7 linked regions of the Macaca fascicularis genome follow. The protein of the gene in region 5 interacts with the protein of the main gene of each other region in a pairwise test. Links are inferred from orthologs where the notes say so. Each region holds a gene or a part of one and is shown on either strand. Other genes may lie near its edges. The genes, in order: YY1AP1, SMAD4, PRMT1, PLSCR1, EWSR1, ATPAF2 and MVK.

Region 1 (4,087 bases), on a different chromosome or scaffold from region 5:
TCCGAACAAAGAAAATGAAAGGTTTTCAAATGAGACCTAAATATAAATTGGCTCTATTTCATTACACTTTAAGTTCCTAAAATCATATGTATAAATCATGTGATTGGGCTTATGTTCATCTTCTAACTTGAGGGCCCAGTGTCTTTCATCAGATTCTCAGAAGGATAAATGACCCCCAAAAACTTTTAAGAACCACTAATCTAGCCTATCAAGAAACATCCCATTTTCCAGAAGAATACAGTTAAGTTGGCTTAGTTCATGCACTCTTTCCTTATATTCACAGAGGGGATTCTTACTATATGAAATCAATCTTTCAAAGGATTCCTTCAGCCCAGCCAAGAAGTTCCAACATCCACAGGTACGTATATTAACAATCACCAGAACCCAAAACCAGTTCTCTGATTTTAATTCCACACTGCTTCACTCAACTCAATATCTACCACTGTCAAAACAATTCCCCTCATATTGCATCCAGGCTATTTACAGAGACACCATGATTATCCTCACCCCAAGACATGGACGATTTATTGAACAGGCAGTCAACAAATATTTGTTGAATGAATGAAAAAGGATCTTTCCTCCCACAGATTTCAAGTTAAGCTGTCAGCACCCATGCAGCTGCTCTGGTAGAGGTTAAGCTGTGAAAGCCTTCTCTCCCTCACACGTACAACCTCAAGTGTCAGAAATGCTCTGCTTCCCCCATAAACAAAATAATATAGCCATGGATATGCATTTCATACAGGTCAGACCGGGCAAGGACATCTACTTTCCACATACATATCTGACACAATCGGTCTCCTCCAAATACAATCCAACCAGTCACATGTGCTCCTATCTTTCCAACATACTCAGATTTGCCGACAAAGACTTCCTGAGGCACCATGGTATGCTGAATATACTGCTGCAGCAGTAGTGAAAATATGGGAGTTACAGTCTCAACTTTGTCACCAATTTAATATGCGGCCTTGGAGAAGTTCTCTCCTTATGCCTAAATTAACTATTTTGTAAAATGGAAGAAAGCATCCTACCATTTTCACAGAGATTTAGTATCACAAAGAAATTGAAAGCGCTTTCTTATTGTATTTCTAAACTATTACTATAAACCCGCGACAACAAATAAGGCCACCCATTCTTTACAGCTTTGTAGCAATGATTCTGTTAAAGATATTTTGGGCCTTCACATTTACACAACTCACTCTAACCAAAGGCACAAACTATTAAGACCACAACTGGCTATGCTAAGTTTCTCCCCTCCATGACCTCACAGACACATGCTGTATAGAACACTACCATTGCCACTCTTTCCCAACAAGTAACTAGGGGCTCCCAATCCCTAAAATACACACACATATCAACCTGCAAGGAACCTCCCAACATTTATTCAAGAAATAAGCTAACTTATAACGGGAACTCCATTACACTTACACAAATCAAGGCAAACTCTTCCGGAAACACTTTCCATCCTCGCATACACACACCAACACAGCCGCTACACATCAACAGACCATCTGTCTTCTAGACCAAAAACACCTCTTTCCATGTACAAACTAATCAGTGACATTTATTAAACTTACAACACTGAGATCATCCTGCCGTTCCTACATACCGTTCAACGCGGCAGGGACACCACAGACCTTGTCACACAGGTAAACTCCCCTCTCAGGATCGTGTCCTCGACCACTCTTATCCCTTAATTAAACACACACAAACTGGACTATGGGGGAGGCTCCGATCATGCCTACAAACACAAACTAACCTGTCAGGGGCACAGACGGCTCCGCCTCCACTCGCTTACTTTCCAGCCCCCTCCGGGAGTCCGCCTGTCAGGGACACCCCTTCACCCCGCGTGGAGGGACTTCCCGGTAGGCTCAGGATCCCCCTCCCTGCTCTCCCCTCCCCCATCTTCACCACTGCTCTCCCGGAGGTCCAGGTCCGGGAGATGACAGTGGCTCCCAGGAAGCCCAGGATTCAATCGCTGAGAGAGTGCTTAGGCCCGAAGGCCTGCCCAAATCGTTCTACTCACCGTGTCGGAGGCCGAGGCCGAGAGCGACGAGAGTGCAGGGAAGTGGGGAAGAGGGGGTGGCCGCCAGGCTCCTCCGCTTCCCTGGGTCCACGGCGGATCCCTCCCGCTTGTCAGGAGGCGGCCAGCGGGTAAGCTGACTGGCGGAAATGCGAGAGAGGAGAAGGGAAAGGTGGAGGCTAAAGGGGGCAAACTGAGGGGAGGCGGGTCCCGCAACCGAGACTGGGATCGTCTCCCCTCCGCAAAGCGAACCCAAAATGGCGGCGGGAGCGGCGGCGGCGGCGGCGGCGGCGGCAGCAGAGTGGCGGCGGTGGCGGCGGCTGCTCCTCCAGAGGGAGGGAGCGAAGGGCGTCTAGCGCCCCCCCAACCTCCCACTCCTCCCTCCTCGCGTTCTTCCCCACCGTCCCCCGCTCCGCCCGACTCCGGCCGCGTAGCGCGCACGCCCGCCCGCAAGCGTACGAGTGTCTACGGGCTAGTCGCTGGCTGCTCCCACCAACCACCACCTTCGGCCGCCCAGCGCGCCAGCCAGCCCGTACGCGCTCACCCACGGGAACCTCCTCGCCCAGTCCCCCACTCTCCCTCAGGCCCTGTCAAGCCGGCTCCGGCGCAGGCCCTCACGCGTACCTTAAGCCGCGCGAGCCCAAGCCTCCTCCACCTCCTCTTCCCGCCCCCACGGCCACCAACCGCCGCCAAAGAAGCCGCTGCCAGCACAGCCCCCCCCTCGACCCTCCAACCCTCGCGCGTGCGCCTTCCACAGTCCCCCCCGCCAGCGGGACTGTTCCATTCCTGTCGGCTGCAGGGGCAGGAGAGGAATGGGCCGGCAAAGCGAGTCTGGCTTGCCGTTTGACTGGAATTGCCAGGGTGGCGGGCCGAGTCCCACGACAACCTACCTCCCTGGGCTCGTTCCTGCGGCGCTGCGGCTCGCCTCCTCCTCCACAGGACCCCGGCGAGCGGATCGAGGGCTGTCTAGTGCCCCCTCTGCCGGCCGGTGGTTGGAGGCCGCGGCGGCTGCGCGTTGGGTCGTTTCCGGCCGGATGACCCGAGCCTTTTACGCAGTCGCAGGACGGGCGCTTTGGAACCGGCCCTTGGCAGTGTGTGTCAGTCGTCTGGTCTGGAGAAGTAGTCCTCGACTCACGGTGAGGGAGTGGACCGGCACGGGGGATGTATCGCTGAGGGAAAGGAGCGGGACTCCGGACCTCCGGGAGGTAGGGAGTGAGGCCGGTAGGACCGGCGTGCCTCCGTGGGGATTCCTCCCGGGCGCTGTGGTGCCAACCTGGGACCCGAGGAAGATCGGCCTGGTGATCTGCTTGCTGTTGTTAACCCGCCTCGGATTTCTCGAATTTCACACTAGTGTCCATATGCGATTTTGTTTGTTTGCCCCTGACGCGCTACTTATGGATAGTACTTCTTCAGCCTCGTTAGACAGCCTGGTGATAGAGGATGAAGAAACCATGTGCTTCTCATTCAGTTCTGGACTCAGTCTCCCTTGTTTTCAGCAAGCTATTTTTCTTAGTTCCTTATCAAAAAGTGTACATGAAAATTAGGCAACTCCAAACATGCCTCCAGGGTTGGTGTGTGAAATAATAAGATAGGGCTGGGCGCGGTGGCTCACGCCTGTAATCCCAACACTTTGGGAGGCCGAGGCGGGTGGATCACAAGGTCAAGAGATCGAGACAATCCTGGCCAACATGGTGAAACCCCCGTCTCTACTAAAAATACAAATATTAGCCGGGCGTGGTGGCGGGCTCCTGTAGTCCCAGTTATTCAGGAGGCTGAGGCAGGAGAATTGCTTGAACTCGGAAGGTGGGGTTGCAGTGAGCCGAGTCCGTGCCACCGCTCTCCAGCCTGGGTGTCAGAGGGAGACTCCGTCTCAAAAAAAAAAAAAAAAAGCCGGGCGCAGTGGCTCACGCCTGTAATCCCAGCACTTTGGGAGGCCGAGGCGGGCGGATCACAAGGTCAGGAGATCGAGACCACGGTGAAACCCCGTTTCTACTAAAAATACAAAAAATAAGCCGGGCGCGGTGGCGGGCGCCTGTAGTGCCAGCTACTCAGGAGGCTGAGGCAGGA
Region 2 (3,500 bases), on a different chromosome or scaffold from region 5:
AAACTTACAGTATTTACAGTATTTGATTATTAAAATCTACCCAATAAATACCAGGATAAAATTAGCTGCATTTCATTTATATCACTTTTTCTAATCTTTGCATAGGACTCAACCTTAGGGAATAAAACAGTCAAAATGAAGTCACTTTAGCAAGCATTAACAAAGGTACAGAAATTCAATCTCCAGATAATATAAACAGAAGTAGGTAGCTGTGCTCTAGCACTAATCTACGTTCAAGTGGCTATAATGTACCTTCTTTCATTTTCTATCACTACCCACTGTTTATCAACCATATTCCTAATTTGGTAAATAAAAAGTAGACAGATAACAGAAGAACCAAGTGATTAAGGATCTGGGTTCTCAAGTACTTAACCTATATGACCCATTTAGTATATGCTGCCTATAGTGAGACCGTCATCTCTTATATAGCAAACCAAAAACATATTGCTTTGAAGTGGTGTAATGAATTAAAGAGGGGAAATTTTTGTATACTTCACTTGAAAACTCACAATTACAGAAATCAGTCCCCCATTTATTCCAAAGATCAAAATTTCTATGTTGAATCTAATCTGATAGTAAAGCAAATAGAATAATGGTACTTTTGGCAGCAACTAACACAGTATTAGACCAGAGCTGTCAAAAATCTATTCTAATGTAGGTTTACATATAATTCCTTTAGCAATTGCATGCAACTAACACCATACACATGCCAAGACAATGCACTATGATTAACTGGGAAAAAAAAAAAAAAAAAAAGCAAAAAAAGCTACTTCATTTGCAAGGCAGCAAACTATCAAACCTTTGGTTACTGTGAAAATAAGTAACAGAACCAGGTCATATCATCAGGCCCCAAAAAACCTAAACCTAGCAGCCCCTTTACCTCCTATGACATGGCAGAAAAGAAGGATCCTTCTGAAACAGACTAATTTTTTTAAAATACAGACAAAAATTTTAAAAGAGATATAGAAGTTAGCTTACATCAAAATTGACTTAATTACTTAATGTCTATCTTGAGCAATACATAACAAATTTGTCAAGATCCCTTTGCACAGTGAGAAAATAAGACAACTACTATAAGGTAATATTCTCCCAGATAAACCAAAATAAGAACACTGGATTAAAAGAAAGGTTGCAATTCCATTAACACAGACCTTCATAAACATCTTGGATCAAAACTACTTATTATTTAAATATTTCTCCAAAATCTATCTGAGAGCTTCAGAGGCTACTTACTTCTACATGTAATAGTAAAGTTCAAATCAGATCACTAATTTGAATCAATATTCTAATCAAAGCCATTAAATTCCAAGCGATTGTACATACCTGTCTAACACCTGTTTACCTATGAAAGATACCACAGTTACTTTTAATGTTTACTTACTTGGAGTTTCCCCCCAAATAACTACACATAAATAAGCAATGATTAGGAAAACTCAACTTGCTGACTACATCTGATTCTAGAACTCACTTGTGGAAGCCACAGGAATGTTGGGAAAGTTGGCAGTGCTGGTAGCATTAGACTCAGATGGGGCTAACAGAGCTGGGGTGCTGTATGTCTCTGTTGACGCACGATTACTTGGTGGATGCTGGATGGTTTGAATCGAATGTCCTTCAGTGGACAACGATGGCTGTCCCTCAAAGTCATGAACATATTCATCCTTCACCATCATACTTGAAGGAGCTATGTAGAAAATTAAACGTATTTTAAATTTTTATAAGCTTCTATCCCCAGAAAAAAGAAATCTTATTAGCAAGTAATATAACATCTAAAATCAATTACAGTGTAAATAACTTTAAATCAGAATTTTTTCATATTATTTTAAAAGCATACTACTTTACCAGCAAGTCATTTATTTAATGGTAACAGCATCAGATATATTTTATCCATCAATCTGACTCTCAAATTCGAAGCTAGTCTACGTTCCAACAGCCTCCAGCAACAATCCTAAAAAGGTACTCCTCAGTTTCTTGAGAAACGTAGAATAATCATCACCTAAATACATAAGGCAGGCAAAAACCAAAAGGCTGGAAAATGTGTATCCAGCTGAGAAAAACAATTATTTGGTCTAAATCGAGATTGAGTATTTAACTACATCCTTTTGCTAATTTCACACTGTGGAGATATCAGTGGGATCTGACAGATATCCAATTCCAGGATCTAGAATTATTGTTAAGTAACATATTCTTTAAAAATGAAGTGTACTGAATGTCCCCTATAGATTTAGAACCAAACAGAAAAATTCTAAATGAAAAGTCAAGCTGAAATTTCCCTCTAGAAACCCAACCCAAATAAGAGTATTTGATAAACATATGGTGTGAGAAAACTCAGTAATCAATCTTTCACCTATGTGGTTACACCTTCATAAGTAAAGCTAGATTCCAGCTGATATAGCATAACACCTTTCCATTAACAAACCAGGAAATAGTTTGCTCTGTTGTATGAGAAAAAGAAAACTGAAACTGAACTGCATAAATGTTAATTCTCTGCCTGGAACCTTCCTTTTGGTTCTAGGTTATTGTTTTAAGGTTTGCTTTTTATGTTTAACAACCAATCCTTTATTGCTTCTGAACTAACACTACTCCAGAACTTAACAATCCACTGAACTAATAGTAGGTTCTCTTCTTAAAGCAGTAAATTAGTAGACCACAAAAAGACATTCCCTTTTTCATTAAGAACCAGCATATCATTTCCCTTATCTTTCCCTATGTCAACCTTTGAAAAAAATCTACATGTAAATATCAGTTAAGTTACATGGGTATTTTTTATTAAATTGAGACTATTTCAAGGCAGTAATAATCATCCATTGTGCAAGTTTCTATGTGCAACCTCTTAAAAACCTCTTAAGAAGTACGTTCATGCATCAAAAGTCATGACGATGATATTCTGAAGACCCCATAAATCCCATTCCAAAGTTCCTCTTTATAAATTTTACAGAAACAAAAAGATAATCAAAAGGATGTTTAACAAATTATGTATCGATAAAAAAACTGAACACAATCACTCATCACTAACATTGGCCAAATTATAAAAATAATAAAAAGAAAAAAAATGGGGCATAAAATTGGTATGTCTACACTTATTCAGCCTTGTATTATACCCTTCAACAAAGTTCAATGATTTTCTTCATATAAATCCTGACATCTCTAAATAATTCCTGGACATTTTAGGTTTTCTGTTGTTATAACGGCCAGGATCTTTTTACCGACTTACTGGTTTTGCTAGCTGATTTGAGGATACAACTGGTCAATTTGGTACTCACTGCTTTTGCTTTTCAGGTGACTCTTCAGTGTAATCAGCAATCATAATATCTTTAAGTACCTACTGCATTCTGCTTTTAAACAGTTATGACTCATAAATCTTTCTTGCCTTAAATATGCTGGCTAAACTTCCCAAATGTAAGTTTGAAACCTCTACTGGTCTACAGATTTCTTTAACCCCAGATAATCCATAATGTTTCTCAGGTAAAACTGAAGGTATCAACAAGTATAGAAATCTGCAA
Region 3 (4,134 bases), on a different chromosome or scaffold from region 5:
ACTGGTTTGAAGCAAGAGGGGTATGGTTAGACCTCAAGAAAGGGCCAGATGTGTGGCAAAATATATTGATGTGGAGGTCGGGGTGGGAAGGGGTCTCACAAAAGGATATTTACTTCTTCAAGAGGCGGCTGGAGGCTCATCCCATTAGCCAAGGTGGCTACAAAATTCTAGGAGAGAGTAACAGGGAGAAAGGATTAGCTACTGGGAGTGGCTGCGGGAGGGCTGGGCGCGGGGACCTGGGCTCTGGCGGGGTGGGAGGGGGTGGGGGGGGGTTTCCAGCAATTCTCCTTCTTGGCGGGGAGTGGTGGCAAAGAGGGCAAGTAATGAGGTGGGGTGTTTAAGAAAGGGATGGGAAAAGTGAGGGGAGAAGAAAGGGGGTCTCCTATCCCAGCTGTGGCTGGAGAGATGGTGGCCTGCCCCCTTGTTGCCCCTCTCTGGCCAGGCAGCTGACCACACACCTCCCCCATCCAGGCCAGGGGAACTGGCACCCACCCCCGCCAGCTGTCGCTCCCTCTCATCACCTAATCTCCCCCAGATTAGGTGACACTTCCTGACACACACACCCCTATCCCAGGGTGCCATGAATAGCAGGAGGGAACGAGGCTGGCAGGGTATGCCCACAGGGCATCTGCCACCTCTGCAAACCAGTCTCATGTCTGAGAGGATTCCAGAATAGAGGTGTGGCACACGGGCACTTCCCCAGAGCTAGTACCCCAGCCCCCAGCTCCTGCCTTGGACTCAGGAGCCCCAAACAAAACCAGCTGGAACCAACCCGCTCCCTTATGACCCTCTGCCCATGAAGGTAGGGTCCCATGGAGGATGGGCAGCTCCTGGACCCTCTTAAGAATGAGCGGGCTCCAGAAAGTGGCTTGGGGGCGCGGTGGCTCACACCTGTAATCCCAGCAGTTTGGGAGGCAGAGGCGGGTGGGTCACCTTAGGTCAGGAGTTTGAGACCGGCCTGACCAACATGGTGAATCCCCATCTCTACTAAAAATACAAAAATTAGCTGGGCCTGGTGGCGGGTGCCTGTCATCCCAGCTATTCAAGAGGCTGAGGCAGGAGAATCGCTTGAACCCAGGAAGCGGAGGTTGCAATGAGCCGAGATCAAGCCATTGCACTCCAGCCTCGGTGACAGATTAAGACTCCGTCTCAAAAAAAAAAAAAAAAAAAAAAAAGTAGCTTGGGGAGTCAGCCCATCGCCCCCATTTCAGACACCCATCCCAGGTCCTGAAGACTTCCAGGTGTGGCCAAGCCTGAGGCCACCTCTGGGAAAGTTATTTCCTCCGCCCACAGAGCCCCAGGTGCAGGAGACAGCCAAGAGGGTGCGAAGTCATTACAGTGACCCCTGGGAGCTGCATCCTGACAGCTTACAGCTGACCTGCCCCCCCAGTCAATGCCATGGGTAAAGGGGTGGAAGGACAGAGGCCCCATCAGATTACATCTCTTCCAGATGTGACCACTCCAAGAAGGGCCACGTCACTGGCCATGACCTACTAGGCTCCAAACACCCTCCCCCCAGCTCTCCCAAGCCAGCGGGGATGCCTATAAGAAAGGTGCTGCGGGGGTTTCCCGCTGGGGCCCATTTATCACCACCACTGAAAACTACCGCCAGACAACCCCAGCCCGAAGGCTTGAAACGCAAGACTGAAACCTCCCCCACATGGCTGCACGAGAACCAAACCTCACTTGAAACCATTTCAGGCACCCACCCTCAGGACCCCGGGGCTCAGGACCCCTACACAGGGCTTCAGGAAGGGGGAGGTCATCTCCCGCCCTCACAAAGGCCCAGGAGAGAGAAAGCGCTCCAGCAGAGGGTAAAGCTCTCAGCCTACGTATTTCCCACAACTCCTTCCCAGCGGACGTACCCTCCTCCCTCCGCCCGCCAGGAAGAAATCCGACGGGAGGTGGGCTTCAGGACACGCCCCATGAAAAAGATGTCCCTCCCACACACCCAGAAATGGCCACAAGGGGGTGCACGGCGCCTATTAGTGGGAAAATCTCCATCTAGATGCCCCACCACCACCCAGAGGGAGGTCACAGGGGCATGCCCCATCCCCCAACACCTAAAGCCCTGGGTGAGGGGGAGAACTCTAGGAGGGGAAATGGGGTCAGGGGGGCCCCATTCTTGGTTTTCCTCCAGTCCCTAATCCAGAACGCACAAATCCAGGGCCGATATCCCAATAGATGCCCCTGGAGCTCGGAAGGAGGTTGTAAAAGGCACTGCTCCTCCCAAAAGACACTCTACATCGTGGAGGGCCCCAGGTCGCTCCCACCCCACGACGTGTGCCCGGGTCCCTGGGTAGGAGGGCTGGGGGCCTCAGGAGGGTCGGACCCCCTCCCCGCCCCCCCGGGCGCCCCTCCCCGGCCGGGGGCGGGGCCTTTGTCCCGCACGTGGAGCCCGCCGGGCCACCGGACTCGGCACACCCCCTCCCCACCCACCGCGCCGCGGCCACGTGGGGGCCTGGCCGGAAGCGCCCCCAGCCCTCCTCCACGTGGGAGGGGGGATAAGACCCTCCGCTAGGCCGGATGCCGAAGGCCCTTGAAAGCTAGGGAGCCGTCACCTCAAACGATATCCCCGGATGTGGAGCGTGCGGCGCCCCCGTGTGCGGCGGGGGACCTCCAACCCCATGTCGCCAACTTAGAGCCCTTTTCCCACCACAGAGGCGTGAAACATCGACCCAAAGCCGACCCCCGCCCACGGCGGCGCTCCAAGCGCTCACCTCCATGATGCAGTTCGCGGCCTCGGCTGCCGCCATCTTCACCCGCAACTACTCCTCCTCCAGCCGCCAAGACCCCCCCTTTCTCCTCACTCCCCCGGGACCGCCTTATACCAGAGGGTCCACGGCCCGCCTACCGCGACCCCGCTGGAAGATTTCATTGGCAATGGAGGCGGCCCGTCTGAGAATACCGTCTGATAATTGGCTGGAGAATACGTCCATCATAGGTCAGGGGTTTGCCAACACTGGCGTCCAGAATCCCGCCCCCTCAAGTCGACCCGAGATGGGGAAAACTGCCCGTCTATTGCAAGAAGCGCGACTGGTGATTGGGCAAAATCCACGAGGAATGCCCGCCCCTTTACCCCCAGCACCGCCTCAAAGCTTCCCGGGGAGCCCCGCGCTAAAGGGGCGTCTTGAAACAACTGTCCATCACCAAAACGACCCGCCTCTTAATCGCTGCCATTGGTTTATCCGGAAGTGACGTCACGCGGCCTTTCACCCTCGCCAAGCGGCCAGTCTCAAGGAGAACACGACAATTGGCCCACGGGTGGGGAAGAAGGCGGGGCTTCAGGCACCAACGATTGGCTCAAAGGAACGATCACGCCTAGTCCACTCGGTGGATCCTCCCAACCCGGGGGGAGTCTCGAGGAAAAAGGGAGCTTGTGCTCATTACCTGGGAGAAAAACTGAGTAAGTGAGAGGCCCAGAGAGAGGAATGGCATCGCTGGGGTCCCCAAGCAAGTGAGGAATAGGAGTCCGCAGTTAACACATTAAATCCCTAGCCTTTGACATAATCATTCAAAGTTTTTAAAACCCATCAACCCCTCTCAAGGTACTTGGTTTTTGCCGAGTCCCTCCCCCTGCCAGGACCGCCCACCTCTCTTTGTCTTGTCAGCTTCTAAACGAGAATCAGAGCGCAGCTTAGGCACCACTTCCTCCGGGAAGCTTTGCTTGATTTGCAGGAAAAGTTCCTAGTTGAATAAGGCTGAATGCAAAGGGCCGAATGCGTGGGTCCTGCCCCTCCTCTCTCTGATCCCTCTGCTTCCCTCCGCTCACACTCCTCTCCAATCCCGGAATGAGCTCGCTCTTTGGTTTCTGGGCCTCGGTGCAGGCTATACTCTCTGGCGTGCCGCTGGCAAACGCCTGAGACTTAAAAATTTCCGATAGGATTCGGGCGCAGTGGCTCACGCCTGTAATCCCAGCACTTTGGGAGGCGGAGGCGGGCGGATCACTTGAAGTCAGGAGTTCGACACCAGTCTGGCCAACATGGTGAAACGCCCATTTCTATTAAAAATACAAAAATTGGCCGGGCGCGGTGGCTCAAGCCCGTAATCCCAGCACTTTGGGAGGCCGAGACGGGCGGATCACGAGGTCAGGAGATCGAGACCATCCTGGCTAGCACGGTGAAACCCCGTCTC
Region 4 (2,650 bases), on a different chromosome or scaffold from region 5:
GACCACATTTTTCCTGGACGCCGGACAAGAGCCTGGGAGCCATGAGTGCAGATATAAAAGGCACTAACACTCGCCCTTTGCCCTTGCTGGTGGAGGGCAGCTGTCCCACGTGACAAGACAAAGGGCTCACGGAGCTGTTAACACTTAAGCTGTCCACAGACTGCAGAGCTAAAAGAGCACCGTAACACACCTTCTGGGGCTTCAGGAATCGCAGGCAACCGCACCTGGTTGCTACCACAGGGCGTGCACGGAGTTTGCTCTTGCCCGTGCCAAAGCGGTCAGCCAGTTCCAGTGCTTGTGCACTCCAGTTCCTGCCTTGTTTGCCTGCGCACTCCCTCCCAGGAGGAGTTGAGAGTGGCAGGCTGAGTAAACAAGACACCCCTTCTCGAGTCCCAGGAAGGGGTCAGGGAAATATCCTGCTTCAAATGTACCATCATTTAACTGAATGAGTGTTCAAAATACCATCTGAACACATTTTGTTTAAAAACAAAAGTCAAATATACAAAAAAATCAAGTTTTTATTTCAAATATTTGAATCTAATAGATCATTATTTAGGTTTATTTTCTGTGAATATATATATATATATAATATTATATTTAATTAACATCTGAAAATTACCATTTTCTAGAAAGGATAGAGTATAAAAGCTATACATTTCATATATAAATATTAACTTTCAAAATTTATAATAGTACGAGTTTTAGAGTGAAGGAGTGTTTAAAATGTGCCTTTCTTTGGACAAGAATCATTTTGTTCTTTATTTTGTTCTTTATTTAACAATAATTTAAAAACTGGTAATTTAATATCTTGTGAACATGAATGTATCATTTATGGTACAGCTTAGCTTCTAGGAGAAGTTAAGTGTAGCATGATTTCTTGAAGATTAAAAAAATACATTTAACTTTTTAAAGATAATATACATATTGAATATTATTTGAACATAACAGTAAAGAAAATTATCTTTGAACTTTTTTGAATATATGGCATTTGCAAAATAACATTAGCTATTATGCATGAAATAAATTGTAACTAGATTTAAAATATAATTTATATAAAAATTAATAAGGCCTTAGTTAATATTCGGTAGTAAAATGGACAGTGGATCAGAGATCATAATTCAAAGCAGTTTTTTATAGGAAGTTTCATTAATAAATGCAAAAACTCAGATGCCCTTTTTCTCAAATTCACAATGAGTATTAAAAAATGTACAAAAACCTTTATAAATCAGTTATACAGAAGATAAACTATAATTTGAAAAGCAAAAGTATACAACCAGAGCTACAGGCATTACAGCTTAATTCACACAGGTATGAGTTTAGATAGTCTCAATCAATTTACGGACTTCAGATTTCCTGAGGAGACTTTCACTAATCCACTACCACACTCCTGATTTTTGTTCCTGGCTGCCAGTGCTTTCAAAAAACATGAAATCCTAGATAAAAACAAAAATATACAAATGAATTTTCAGCAACAAAACAGAGATCAATGATCAGATGCAGAAATACTAAGGGATCTAGTGAAACACAGTAACATATCTGTTAAAAAAATTAAATGTAATAAACACAGAAAAGCTCTATAGTTATATAAGTTCTACCTTTAGCTTTCCATTTTAATAATAAATTTTATAATTCTATTCATGTATTGATACCTGTATGAATTTAATTAATCTTCCGGTTATTTTCTCTAAATGTGACTTTTTCTCTATCCCCATAATTCTCATCTGTGGCTGCATATTGGAACCACCTGGAGCACTATACGAACTTCGAAGTTTGACTCAGTTGAACTGAGGTATGGACTAGTACTTACAGTTTTTAAAGGTCCCTAAGTGATTCTAATGTGAAGGCAATTTCAGAATCACTGGTATATCCGATTATCTCCTGTAATTTGGTAGTTAGGTCTACACACTTGAGTGAATGCACACTCTTACTGTAGTTCATACTCCTATATTAGATGGTTTAATTTAATTACTATGAGTCATGGTCAAGTTTCCTTGTTTCACTAAATTTTTTCCACATATGCCCGCTTTCAATTTCTTCAAAGCATGTAGGAGATGGCTGATTTAAGGGGAGACTAAAATCTCTCCTCAGTACGCCTCCTTAGTCCCTCTCTTGCCATGTGAATATTCATAGACTCTTCAGACAGAAACTAGTCACCCCAGAGTGTCAGGATCAAATAGAATTTCAGAGCTAGGATTAAATGGGAATCCTGATTTAAAAATCTATAAATTTTAAAAAGTCATTTTGAAATATACACTTTACTGAATCATTTCAGAATGATTAGTAGAAAGCATATAGAGAAAGCATCTATAATCAAGATTAATAAGAACAAACTTACAATGAGGAAACAGGCACCAATCATTACAGCTTTCATTTTAACATCAAGGTCTAAAGGGAACTGGATTCCAAAGTTATCAGCATCTGTAAATGCCTCTCTCAAAATTCCAGTCCAGTGCTTGGAAATTTTGCCAACCACACACTGTTCATCAAGAGATTTAATCTAAATTGAAAAAAAAGTATTACATATTTTTAGGAAACTTATAGCAAAAGTACTTTCAAATTTGAAGATGAAACAAATATGGTATTAAAATTATGTACCATATGTAACCATGAACATGTAACCCTCATTAGATAACTAGAGGCTCCGGTATCT
Region 5 (3,500 bases):
AAAAAAAAAAAACCCACAAAAACAAAAAAAGTCAAAACCACAAAAACAAAAAAAAATCATCTGGTATTAGGCTTCACAAATCATGATATGAAACAATAAGGATACATATTTTAAAATCCGATTAAACTACACCAGGAAGTTCGAGGCTACAGGGGACTATGACTGTGTCACTGTATCCCATGCCTGGACAACAGAGTGAGACCTGGTCTCCAAAAATAAACAAACAAAGAAACAGACTAACAAAGCTTCTAATACACCACATCCCTCACCATTGCTGTATGAATTCAGTAGTGTCTCACTGTGTACCTATCCAACTTGCCAGATTAACTACTCTCAACACAATAGGTACGAACCTGCTCTGTGGAAGAAGAGTTGTAAGCCCTGCCCACTTTTGCTCCAAGCTGGCTGTAATGAGAGACACCCAATCAATTCTACTTGTTCCTAAACCTGTTCACATCTGCTGCAAAAAAATGAAATAAGTGCAAAAAAGGGAACTGCTACTTCTAGCAAAACTTTTAAGGCACAATTCAAACAATTTGAAAACCCACATCTAATTAAACATGGGTTAAAAAACTTGCAGGCTGGGCATGGTGGCTCACACCTGTAGTCCCATAATCCCAGTACTTTGGGAGGCCAAGGTAGGCGGATCACTTGAGGCCAGGAGTTCAAGACCAGTCTGGCCAACATTGTGAAACCCTGTATCTACTAAAAATACAAAAACTGGGCCAGGTGCAGTGGCTCATGCCTGTATTCCTAGCACTATGGGAGGCCGAGGCGGGCAGATCACCTGAGGTTGGGGGTTCAAGACCAGCCTGACCAACATGGAGAAACCCTGTCTCTACTAAAAATACAAAATTAGCTGGGCGTGGTGGCACCTGTCTCTAATCCCAGCTACTCGGGAGGCTGAGGCAGGAGAATCACTTGAACCCAGGAGGCAGAGGTTGTGGTGAGCCGAGATCGCACCGTTGCACTCCAGCCTGGGCAACAAGAGCGAAACTCCGTCTCAAAAGAAACAAACTGGCTGGGTGCAGTGGCTCACGTCTGTCATCCCAGCACTTTGGGAGGCCGGGGCAGGTGGATCACTTGAGGTCAGGAGTTCCAGACCAGCCTGGTCCACATGGTGAAACCCTGTCTCTACTAAAAATATAAAAATTAAAAAATAGGCCGGGCGCGGTGGCTCAAGCCTGTAATCGCAGCACTTTGGGAGGCCGAGGCGGGCGGATCACGAGGTCAGGAGATCGAGACCATCCTGGCTAACACGGTGAAACCCCGTCTCTACTAAAAATACAAAAAGAAATTAGCCGGGCGTGGTGGCGGGCGCCTGTAGTCCCAGCTACTCGGGAGGCTGAGGCAGGAGAATGGCGTGAATCCGGGAGGCGGAGCTTGCAGTGAGCCGAGATCGCGCCACTGCACTCCAGTCTGGGCGACAGAGCGAGACTCCGTCTCAAAAAAAAAAAAAAAAAAAAAAAAAAAAAATTAAAAAATAAATAAATAAATAAAAATTAGCCAGGTATAGTAGTGAGCACTTGTAATCCCAGCTACTCGGGAGGCTGAAGTAGGAGAATCGCTTGAACCTGGGAGGTGGAGAGTGCAGTAAGCTGAGATCGTACCATTGCACTCCAGCATGGGCAACAAGAGTGAAACTCCATCTCAAAACAACAATAAAACAAAAACAAAAATGAGTCAGGCGTGGTGGCGTGCACTTGTAGTCCCAGCTACTTGGGAGGCTGAGGCATGAGAATCCCTGGGAGACAGAGGTTGCAGTGAGTGGAGATCGTGCCACTGCACTCCAGCCTGTGCAACAGAGTGAGACTGTCTCAAAAAAGAAAACTTGGCCAGACAATAATAATAATAAAAATAAAAATAAAATGAATTGCCCAAACATTAAAAGGTTAGAGCATGAATGAACCTTTATGCATTAGGTAAAATGTAAAATGTGATTTATAATGTAAAAGGTGATTTATAATGCCCTGCACTTTACTTATCCTAACTGCATTGGGGAAGGTGGCTCTTATGGTTCTATTTACATGCTTTCATATACTTCTGCTTCTTATCTGAGTTAACTAAAACAGCAAAAGGAAGAACCTTAAAGGAAGAACTTAGAGTGATAAAAATGTTTTTGTCTGTATTTAGAAAGTTTAGTTATTAGCTGCCAGGCAACACTACGGGACCCTAGAACTGAGACTTTAATGTAACTAAGTATGATCAGATGACTTATTACTCCGACAGTCAGACAACATACCTTACCTGAAGAGGTCAAAGCAAGCTGGTCAACAACCTGAAAACAACTGTTTTGTCACTGTTTTTGTTTTGCTACAGAAAGTAGACTGACCTGGTAGGAGGGTAAGATGGAGGTGCGGTGACTGGCTGCATGGGGTAGCTCCCAGGTACCTGGGGATAACTGTAGTTACTCTGTCCATATCCTAGGCTGGGCTGGTTGTAACCCCCTGTGCTAGACTGAGGTTGACTAGTCTCAGTGGGCTTGTTTCCATCCTGTGGTCTAAGAGGAGAAATAAAAAATAAATAAAATTACACAGTGACTTTTTTTGTGTGGTCTGCCAACCACAAAACTCCTGGGTAAGAATGCTATAAATCCATAAGCAATAAGCAATGTTATGATTAAGCCTGGAAATAAATACAATAAATACAATCCTAAAGTAAACTACATCAAACTGAGTGCTGGTCCAACTATATTTGCTTGAAGACAATGCTAAGAAAGGGGAAGAACCAATTATATCCACAGAAGAGACATTAATATGTGCCATTCATCACAGTAAAAGCTATAAAAGAGCGTTGTGATATTCTGTCCTACCAGTTTAGGTGATCCGGGAGACGTGATCTGTTAGGGAATAAATGCTTTTTCTCAAAGGGGACTGCTGAAGACTAGAAACTAACAATAATGTAAGTTTTAGTTTGGAGTAACATTTACGTAAGTCCATGGCATCATAAATTTAGAGAATTTGCAGGTTTATGATTCTTATTTATTAAAAACAGACCAGGGCAAACATGGTGGCTCACATCTGTAATCCCAGCACTTTGGGAGGCTAAGGTAGGAGGATGGCTTGAGCCCAGGAGTTTGAGACTGGCCTGGGTAATATAGGGAGACCCCACCTCTACAGAAATAGAAAAATGTTATCCAAGTATGGTGGTATATGCCTGTGGCCTCAGCTACTTGGAAGGCTGAGGTGGGAGGACCGCTGGGGCATGGGAGGTGAAGGTTGTAGTGAGCTGTTAATCGTGTACTCCATCCTGGGTGACAGAGAGACTCCATCTCAAAAGATGCCGGGTGTGGTGGCTCATGCCTGTAATCCCAGCACTTTGGGAGGTCAAGGCAGGTGGATTGCCCGATGCCAGGAGTTCGAGACCAGCCTGGCCAACATGGAGAAACCCTGTCTCTACTAGAAACACAAAAAAATTGGCCTGTCGCCTTGGCTCACACCTGTAATCTCAGAACTCTGGGAGGCTGAGGCGGGCAGATCACGAGGTCAAGAGATCGAGAC
Region 6 (2,307 bases), on a different chromosome or scaffold from region 5:
AGGACTGAGACAGCCTGTCTGCCTAAGAACCACACTCGGGATCCCCACTGCCCTCTTACTGGCGTGACACCAGACAGCACCACCTGCCTCCTGGGACATTAGAGGTGGCTATGTCGGGAGGACCCCTGGGACTCCTGGGTGGGAGATGAGCGGAAACATGCACATCAAGTGACCTCGCCAAGCCTGTCCATTTTCTACTTTCTAGAGTAAATCACTTGTTTTAGAACAGTAGGAACAAATAGAAACAACCAGCTTAAACCACGATCATTTCAAAAGATTGATTAAAAGCCAGCCAAAAAAAGCCTTCAAGTTGAGGCTGAAGAACACAAATAGAGTTGTCTGTGGATGACATGACTGTTTCCCCAGCACAAGGTTCCCAACCACAGGCAGCAGATATCCAAACATGCCATGGGAGATAAGCTGTTTAACCCTCTGGAACCTAGACAAAACAGGAAGAATAGAGAAGTGCAGAAGTGCACGTGAAAACAGGGCTCAGCACATTTCCAGGGTGGAGAAATATTTAATAAAATCAGGGTTGAGAGAAAGTTAGTTGTACAATTCATCTCCCACATTCATTGCTGACCAGGCCAGGGGCACCTGGTTTGAAATCAGGCTGACCTCCGGACAGTCGCACTAGCGCACTGTGTTTCAGGGAAATCTCAGGGTGATGCTGAGGCCGAGGCCCCAAAAGTCAAGTAAGTCAGCCCCACAGGCTGAGGAGCCCTGAAGGTTGGGGGAGCTGTGGCTGCGCTGCCTCTATCCTGCTGAGTGTGTGCTGCCCAGGCCTCACTCGTTCAGGAGCTTGTGCTTGACTGTGGTGCTCTCGGAGCAGAGATGGATGAAGAGGGTGCCGGCAGCGGTGCGGGCCCGCAGCTCCTGCAGCTCGTAGTCATGGGCCCACTCAATGTTGCCCCACTTCTGGATCTGAGGGACAGACAAGACAAGTTGCTGGGTGAGTGGCCAGTGCCTGGCTGCCTCCTGGCCAAAGCCACATTCCATTCCAATAGCTCGGCTGAGGGCAACAGGTTTGGATCTTGCCAAAACACGAGACATGCCTAGAGGGAGGCGGCAGGTAAGAACACCGAGGTGGGCCAGGCACAGTGGCTCACGCCTGTAATCCCAGCACTCTGGGAGGCCAAGGCAGGAAGACTGCTTGAACCCAGGAGTTCAAGATCAGCCTGGGCAAATATGGTGAAACCTCATCTCTACAAAAAGTTTTAAAAATTAGCTGGGTGTGGTGGGGGTGCACCTATAGTCCCAGCTACTTGAGAGGTTGAGGTAGGAGGACTGCTTTGAGCCCAGGAGGTTGAGGCTGCAGTGAGCCAAGATCATACCGCTGCACTCCAACCTGGGCAACACAGCAACACCCTGTCTCAAGAGCACCACACACACACACATACACACACACACAACCACTCAGGGAGCCAGAGCAGGCACCTGTGCTTTCTGTGGCATGGATGGTCTAGAAGAAGTACAGTCCAGGCCCAGGGCCAGTAGCTGCCCACCCACCACTGAGCAGGCTGGGTACCAGAACCACCCATGTGACTTCTTTGAGGAGGCCTGACTTATGTGCCATCCCTTCTCCTACACTTCCTCCCGGGAAGCCTGTGAACGGACAGCCTCTGCAAGTTGCCTTGCCATGCTGGGCTACAAGTGCACCCCGAGCCCCATGTGGGTGGAATAACTAAATCAAGCAAGGCCATGCAGTGGCTTCAACTCTAACTCTTGTGGTAGTCACAGAACTACAGATGCCTCTGCTCTGCACACTGGGGACACGTTGCAGATTCTCTGTCTGGAGCTCTTTTTTTTTTTTTTTTGAGACGGAGTCTCGCTCTGTCGCCCAGGCTGGAGTGCAGTGGCCGGATCTCAGCTCACTGCAAGCTCCGCCTCCCGGGTTTACGCCATTCTCCTGCCTCAGCCTCCCAAGTAGCTGGGACTACAGGCGCCCGCCACCTCGCCCGGCTAGTTTTTTGTATTTTTAGTAGAGACGGGGTTTCACCATGTTAGCCAGGATGGGTCTGGAGCTCTAAAAACAAGAGGGAGGAACCCTCAGACACACGGTGTGGCTGTCCAGACAGTGTAACTCCAACCAGACCCTGCTGGCTCCTCCCTGGCTAGTTGCCCAAGAGGCCTGGCCTGGCCGCCCCAGCTCATCCAGGAACTCAGAATCTGCCATGCTACACAAGCTATTTGAACTTCTGGGCTGCCTGGTCCCAAACTGTACAATTGTAATAAGTCATCTGAAGAGTATTCCATACTTTCATTGTATACCATCACATACATAATTCAGGTTATTCCTCTGTTTGT
Region 7 (4,109 bases), on a different chromosome or scaffold from region 5:
ATGTCTATGTCCCCGAGATCTTTTCTATCATTTATACACATATTTATACTTAAATACCTATGTTTGCTGTTTTGCATTTTTTTTTCACTCAACAATAGGCCTTGATGATCTGTCCACAACGGCCCACACAGATCCAATGCATTGTTTTACACTTTTAAATTAAACAAAATAAATAAGTGAAGCTAATTTTATAAGGTCAGGGTAGAAAACACGCTGGCAATAGCTGGCCCCTGGCTCCCTTGGCGGGGGACAGCCTGGAATACCTGGCCAGCTGCCCTCTCTGTAGGCTCTCACCACCTCTGGTAAGGCTCTTACGATTTCTCCTCCTTGCACTCACCCAGAAAGCTTGTGTCCAGTAGCTGAAGCCTGGCCACATCCCAGGCCCACTTGATACCAATGTTGGGTAAGCTGAGGTCCACTTTCCCATTGCTGTGGGGTTGAAGCCGGAGAAATGTTCTCAAGTTCAAGGCTACAGCCAGTGCTACCTGTAGAATAAAGGACAAAAGCAATAAGCCTGAGGGTGAGTGGCAAAGGAGCCAGGGCCCACATGCTAACAAGAGAGCAAACATGAGCACAAAGGCCACTCCCAGCCATGCCCTTGCCAGACACTGCTAACCAACTTTGGCATGCTCTCCCACTAAGCCTGGGGACAGCCACCATCGATCAACTAAAAGTTAACATCCACTTTGCCTTCTTCCTGAAAAATTTCACAGGTTCTCAACACCAAGGAATCACTTCCCCATAATCACCATGTTTTCAATGAGAAATATAAGAACATAAAGAATAGCAGTGAGAGGCCAGGTGTAGTGGCTCACATCTGTAATCCCAGCAGTTTGGGAGGCCAAAGCAGGAGGATCACTTGAGCCCAGGAGTTTGAGACCAGCCTGGTGTCAAACCACGTCTTTACAAAAAAAACAAAAGAAAAAATTAGTAGGGTGTGGTGGTACACACCTGTGGTCCCAGCTACTCGGGAGGCTGAGGTTGGAGGCTGCAGTAAGCCGTGATCACAAGATTGCGCTCCAGCGATCTCAGGAAAAAAAAAAAAAAAAAAAAAAAAAGCAGAGTGCAGCAGGAGTAGAACCTAAGACAGACTTAGGTTCACACCAAGCTCTACCAAGGTATATAGGACTTGGATCAAGTTACCACTTCTCTCCTAAGCCTCGGTTTGCACATTTGTAAAACAGGGTAATAAAAGGGTATGCCTTCGGGGTAAGGGTAAAATGAGGTAATGGATGTTTCCGACTCCTTTGCTAGATCATCCTTCCAACTTCTCCATGTCTTAGTGCCCCGGAGCTCAGTTCTCAAACCTCTTCCTTCTGCATCAAAGCTCACTCCTAGGTGATCTCATTCCACTCATAGGGCTTTATATCCCATCTTTTTGCTATCATACCGAGTGAGGCCTGAGAATCCCTTCAGTGGGCATAAGATACCTTTTCCTTGCCTGGCTGAGGAGAAACTGACATCTCTGATCTGCTCCCAAGCTGTGCTTCAGGTGTCCTGCAAAATTAGTATCAGGGAGAAGGGGTACCCAATCCTTAAAGGCTCTAACGGCTTTGTACCTTGCCATGTACCACGGCATGTTCTCCATGAAGGATGACTTTCCCCGGAGCAGACACCAGTAGGACTTCTGACAACATGGCTCCTGGGAATCCTAAAAGGGAAAGCCAGTGAGAAGAGCAAAGATCTCCAGATGTCAGAACCATCAGGAAGAGATCTTAGAACACCTAGTTCAAGCCCATCATAATAACAAAAAAGGTAGACACCGTCCAGCACTTGCTATGTGCCAGAAAGGCAATGCAGCAATCAACTGGACACATCCAACAGATCTGGGTTCAAATCCCAGCTATTCCACTCCCCAGTGATGTCGTCTTAGCTAACTCACTTAAACGGCTATGAACATCGGTTTCCCACCACGTTATATGGACAGAAAATAACCGTACGCACCTCAGTGGATGTTAGGAAGGTTAAATTAACTCAAGGGAAACACTTAGCAGTGTCTGGCACCTACTAATCATTCAATTACTGAGAGCTACTTATTACTGGCTCTGTTCTTCGTTTCAGCTTTTACAACTACTACTACTGAAAGTAGAAATTACATGAAATCATGGAGCAGAAAGAACTCTTTGCTGGACATTTAGGCTGTTTCCAACGTGTCACGATTATAAACAAGGCCACAGAAAACACCCAGTACGCCTCGTTCTGCACACTTAAATGAGTATTTCTGCAGGACAGAGTCCTAGAAAGGGGCTTGCAGGGTCTACAGGTGTGTGCAATTTACACTTTTATAAATAACGCAAAATTATTCCCCGCTTAAGGTTTTACGTTGATTACCTTACACTAAGATTCAAGTGCACTACGAGCTAAGTACTATCGTGATCCCCACTTCTTAGAAAAACTGAGGCTCAAAGCGGGGATTCCCCTTGCTTGTCCCAAGCTCAAAATCACGACTGTCAGATTGAGGTCGCCGACCCCTCGGGGCTGACTCTCAGAGCTGGAGAAACTGAGCCACAGAAACTGGGCGCCCGGCTCAAGGCCGTCCTGGGTCTAGGACCTCGCGCCACCCGGCCCCGCGACCCCGGCCTCTCACCTGTCGCCGCCGCCGCCGCCCACGCCCCGGCTGCCGCCACTCCGCGCCGGAGCCGGAGCAGCTCCCGGACTCCTGCAGCCTAGAGCGCCCGTGCCTCAAGGGGAGGAGGCCTTGGCCTTCAGCCCAGCCAATCAGAGCGCGCAAGTCTGGCGTACTTTTACCAATAGGCTTGAACATTGGTGGTGATGCAGCCAAGCCGGCACGGGTTTTCCCGCCCCGCTTCTTCCGTCAAACCAATGGGAAACAAGTCCCTGGGAGTGTCCCGCCCTGGGGCGAGAACCTCGAGCCAATGAAAATTGACAGCTGAGCGGTGGCGCGGCCAGCTGTGGGTGGAGTCACTCCGGGGCCTGGACGGGAACCTGGCGGGGTCAGCTCCCATCAAGAAGCCTGGCTGATGGCTGTGTGGGGCCTGGGGAGTCGTCTTGGCCTGCGCGGATGCTTCGGCGCCGCCAGGCTCCTGTATCCCCGTTTCCAGAGCTGCAGCCCTCAGGGCGTGGAAGACGGGGACAGGTGAGTGGCTGGCAGGAAGGGTAACTCGAACACCTGCTTTGAATCGTGGTGTCGTCGTCATGGGTACGTCACACCGTCGTGAGGTCACGGCGGCACCCGTCCGGTGACGTCTCCACGCTGTCCTGACGTCACCGTGGCAACGTGGACCACGTGGGCGCCAGAGACCAGGTAGTCTTTGCCTAAGTCCCAGTGAAACCCGGCTGTCATCGGGCAGGGCATGGCATATCCCGTGTGGGCCAGCAGGGCTCTCGACTCAGATTGTGACCAATTTCCATAGCAGTTTATCCCCCAGGTCCCAGATACACCAGCACCTTCTAAAGATGGCTTTCCTCATACACCTTGAAACTTGCACCCAACCCAGACCTCAGAACCTCTAGAGTACCGTGGATTAATAATGGATTAATTTAGTTCACAGATCCAGGAAATTAACCTTCGAATGGCCTTGTAGTGTCACATTTTAATTTTGAGCTATGTCACTGAGTTGTTTACATTGTTATTTGAAAATGCCACTTTTTGAGCTGTATTTTGGCAATTCTTCATCTCTGAGTACACTCGAAGCCTCATAGTATGGAAGTGGCTCAGGCTTCTTTTCCTGCAAGAGGCCCTAAGTTGGTGGAGTGTAAGGTAAGAATTTGGGTAGGATAGAGTTAAGAGTCCTAGCTACTTGGGAGGCTGAGGCAGGAGGATCCCTTGAGCCCAGGAGTTCAAGACTGCAGTGAGCTATGATCATGCCACTGCACTGCATTCCAGCTTAGGCAACAGAGCAAGACCCTGTCTGTGAACAAAATAATCATAGGCCAGGTATGGTGGCTCACACCTGTAATCACAACACTTTGGGAGGTTGAGGTAGCCGTATTGCTTGAACTCAGGAGTTCAAAACCAGCCTAGGCAACATGGTGAACCCGTCTCTACCAAAAAAAAAAAAAAAAAAAAAAATTAGCCGAGTGTGGTGGTATACACTTGTGGTTCCAGCTACTGGGGAGGCTGAGATGGGAGGATTGCTTGAGCCCGG

Evidence for each region.
Region 1: the proteins of EWSR1 (region 5) and YY1AP1 interact in a two-hybrid assay, tested with the Homo sapiens proteins (2 studies listed by BioGRID and IntAct). The link is inferred for Macaca fascicularis from reciprocal best matches to the Homo sapiens genes EWSR1 and YY1AP1.
Region 2: the proteins of EWSR1 (region 5) and SMAD4 interact in binary tests that used the Homo sapiens proteins (3 or more experiments, as listed by UniProt). The link is inferred for Macaca fascicularis from reciprocal best matches to the Homo sapiens genes EWSR1 and SMAD4.
Region 3: the proteins of EWSR1 (region 5) and PRMT1 interact in a two-hybrid assay, tested with the Homo sapiens proteins (2 studies listed by BioGRID and IntAct). The link is inferred for Macaca fascicularis from reciprocal best matches to the Homo sapiens genes EWSR1 and PRMT1.
Region 4: the proteins of EWSR1 (region 5) and PLSCR1 interact in binary tests that used the Homo sapiens proteins (3 or more experiments, as listed by UniProt). The two-hybrid records come from large-scale screens. The link is inferred for Macaca fascicularis from reciprocal best matches to the Homo sapiens genes EWSR1 and PLSCR1.
Region 6: the proteins of EWSR1 (region 5) and ATPAF2 interact in binary tests that used the Homo sapiens proteins (3 or more experiments, as listed by UniProt). The two-hybrid records come from large-scale screens. The link is inferred for Macaca fascicularis from reciprocal best matches to the Homo sapiens genes EWSR1 and ATPAF2.
Region 7: the proteins of EWSR1 (region 5) and MVK interact in a two-hybrid assay, tested with the Homo sapiens proteins (2 studies listed by BioGRID and IntAct). The two-hybrid records come from large-scale screens. The link is inferred for Macaca fascicularis from reciprocal best matches to the Homo sapiens genes EWSR1 and MVK.

Annotation. Positions count from the first base shown.
Region 1 is NC_088375.1:105,421,265-105,425,351, reverse strand, and holds the start of YY1AP1 (YY1-associated protein 1), read right to left. Parts: upstream 2,789-4,087; intron 2,752-2,788; exon of another isoform or gene 2,565-2,751; intron 2,283-2,564; exon of another isoform or gene 2,161-2,282; 5' UTR 2,024-2,160; exon of another isoform or gene 1,823-2,023; intron 1-1,822. Other genes in the region: DAP3 (small ribosomal subunit protein mS29), read left to right, coding at 2,833-3,156. UniProt on the Homo sapiens protein: Associates with the INO80 chromatin remodeling complex, which is responsible for transcriptional regulation, DNA repair, and replication. Enhances transcription activation by YY1. Plays a role in cell cycle regulation.
Region 2 is NC_088392.1:38,670,748-38,674,247, forward strand, and holds part of SMAD4 (mothers against decapentaplegic homolog 4), read right to left. Parts: intron 1,682-3,500; coding exon 1,469-1,681; intron 1-1,468. UniProt on the Homo sapiens protein: In muscle physiology, plays a central role in the balance between atrophy and hypertrophy. When recruited by MSTN, promotes atrophy response via phosphorylated SMAD2/4.
Region 3 is NC_088393.1:57,649,796-57,653,929, reverse strand, and holds the start of PRMT1 (protein arginine N-methyltransferase 1), read right to left. Parts: upstream 2,801-4,134; 5' UTR 2,757-2,800; coding exon 2,562-2,756; intron 170-2,561; exon of another isoform or gene 168-169; coding exon 114-167; exon of another isoform or gene 110-113; intron 1-109. UniProt on the Homo sapiens protein: Arginine methyltransferase that methylates (mono and asymmetric dimethylation) the guanidino nitrogens of arginyl residues present in proteins such as ESR1, histone H2, H3 and H4, FMR1, ILF3, HNRNPA1, HNRNPD, NFATC2IP, SUPT5H, TAF15, EWS, HABP4, SERBP1, RBM15, FOXO1, CHTOP, MAP3K5/ASK1, MICU1 and NPRL2.
Region 4 is NC_088376.1:49,326,399-49,329,048, forward strand, and holds the end of PLSCR1 (phospholipid scramblase 1), read right to left. Parts: intron 2,498-2,650; coding exon 2,336-2,497; intron 1,434-2,335; coding exon 1,377-1,433; 3' UTR 501-1,376; downstream 1-500. UniProt on the Homo sapiens protein: Catalyzes calcium-induced ATP-independent rapid bidirectional and non-specific movement of phospholipids (lipid scrambling or lipid flip-flop) between the inner and outer leaflet of the plasma membrane resulting in collapse of the phospholipid asymmetry which leads to phosphatidylserine externalization on the cell surface.
Region 5 is NC_088384.1:22,388,233-22,391,732, forward strand, and holds part of EWSR1 (RNA-binding protein EWS), read right to left. Parts: intron 2,501-3,500; coding exon 2,333-2,500; intron 1-2,332. UniProt on the Homo sapiens protein: Binds to ssRNA containing the consensus sequence 5'-AGGUAA-3'. Might normally function as a transcriptional repressor. EWS-fusion-proteins (EFPS) may play a role in the tumorigenic process.
Region 6 is NC_088390.1:18,133,044-18,135,350, forward strand, and holds the end of ATPAF2 (ATP synthase mitochondrial F1 complex assembly factor 2), read right to left. Parts: intron 925-2,307; coding exon 787-924; 3' UTR 501-786; downstream 1-500. UniProt on the Homo sapiens protein: Plays a role in the assembly of the F1 component of the mitochondrial ATP synthase (ATPase).
Region 7 is NC_088385.1:116,439,316-116,443,424, reverse strand, and holds the start of MVK (mevalonate kinase), read right to left. Parts: upstream 2,801-4,109; 5' UTR 2,765-2,800; coding exon 2,588-2,764; intron 1,652-2,587; exon of another isoform or gene 1,638-1,651; coding exon of another isoform or gene 1,560-1,637; intron 486-1,559; coding exon 338-485; intron 1-337. Other genes in the region: corrinoid adenosyltransferase MMAB, read left to right, coding at 2,982-3,097. UniProt on the Homo sapiens protein: Catalyzes the phosphorylation of mevalonate to mevalonate 5-phosphate, a key step in isoprenoid and cholesterol biosynthesis.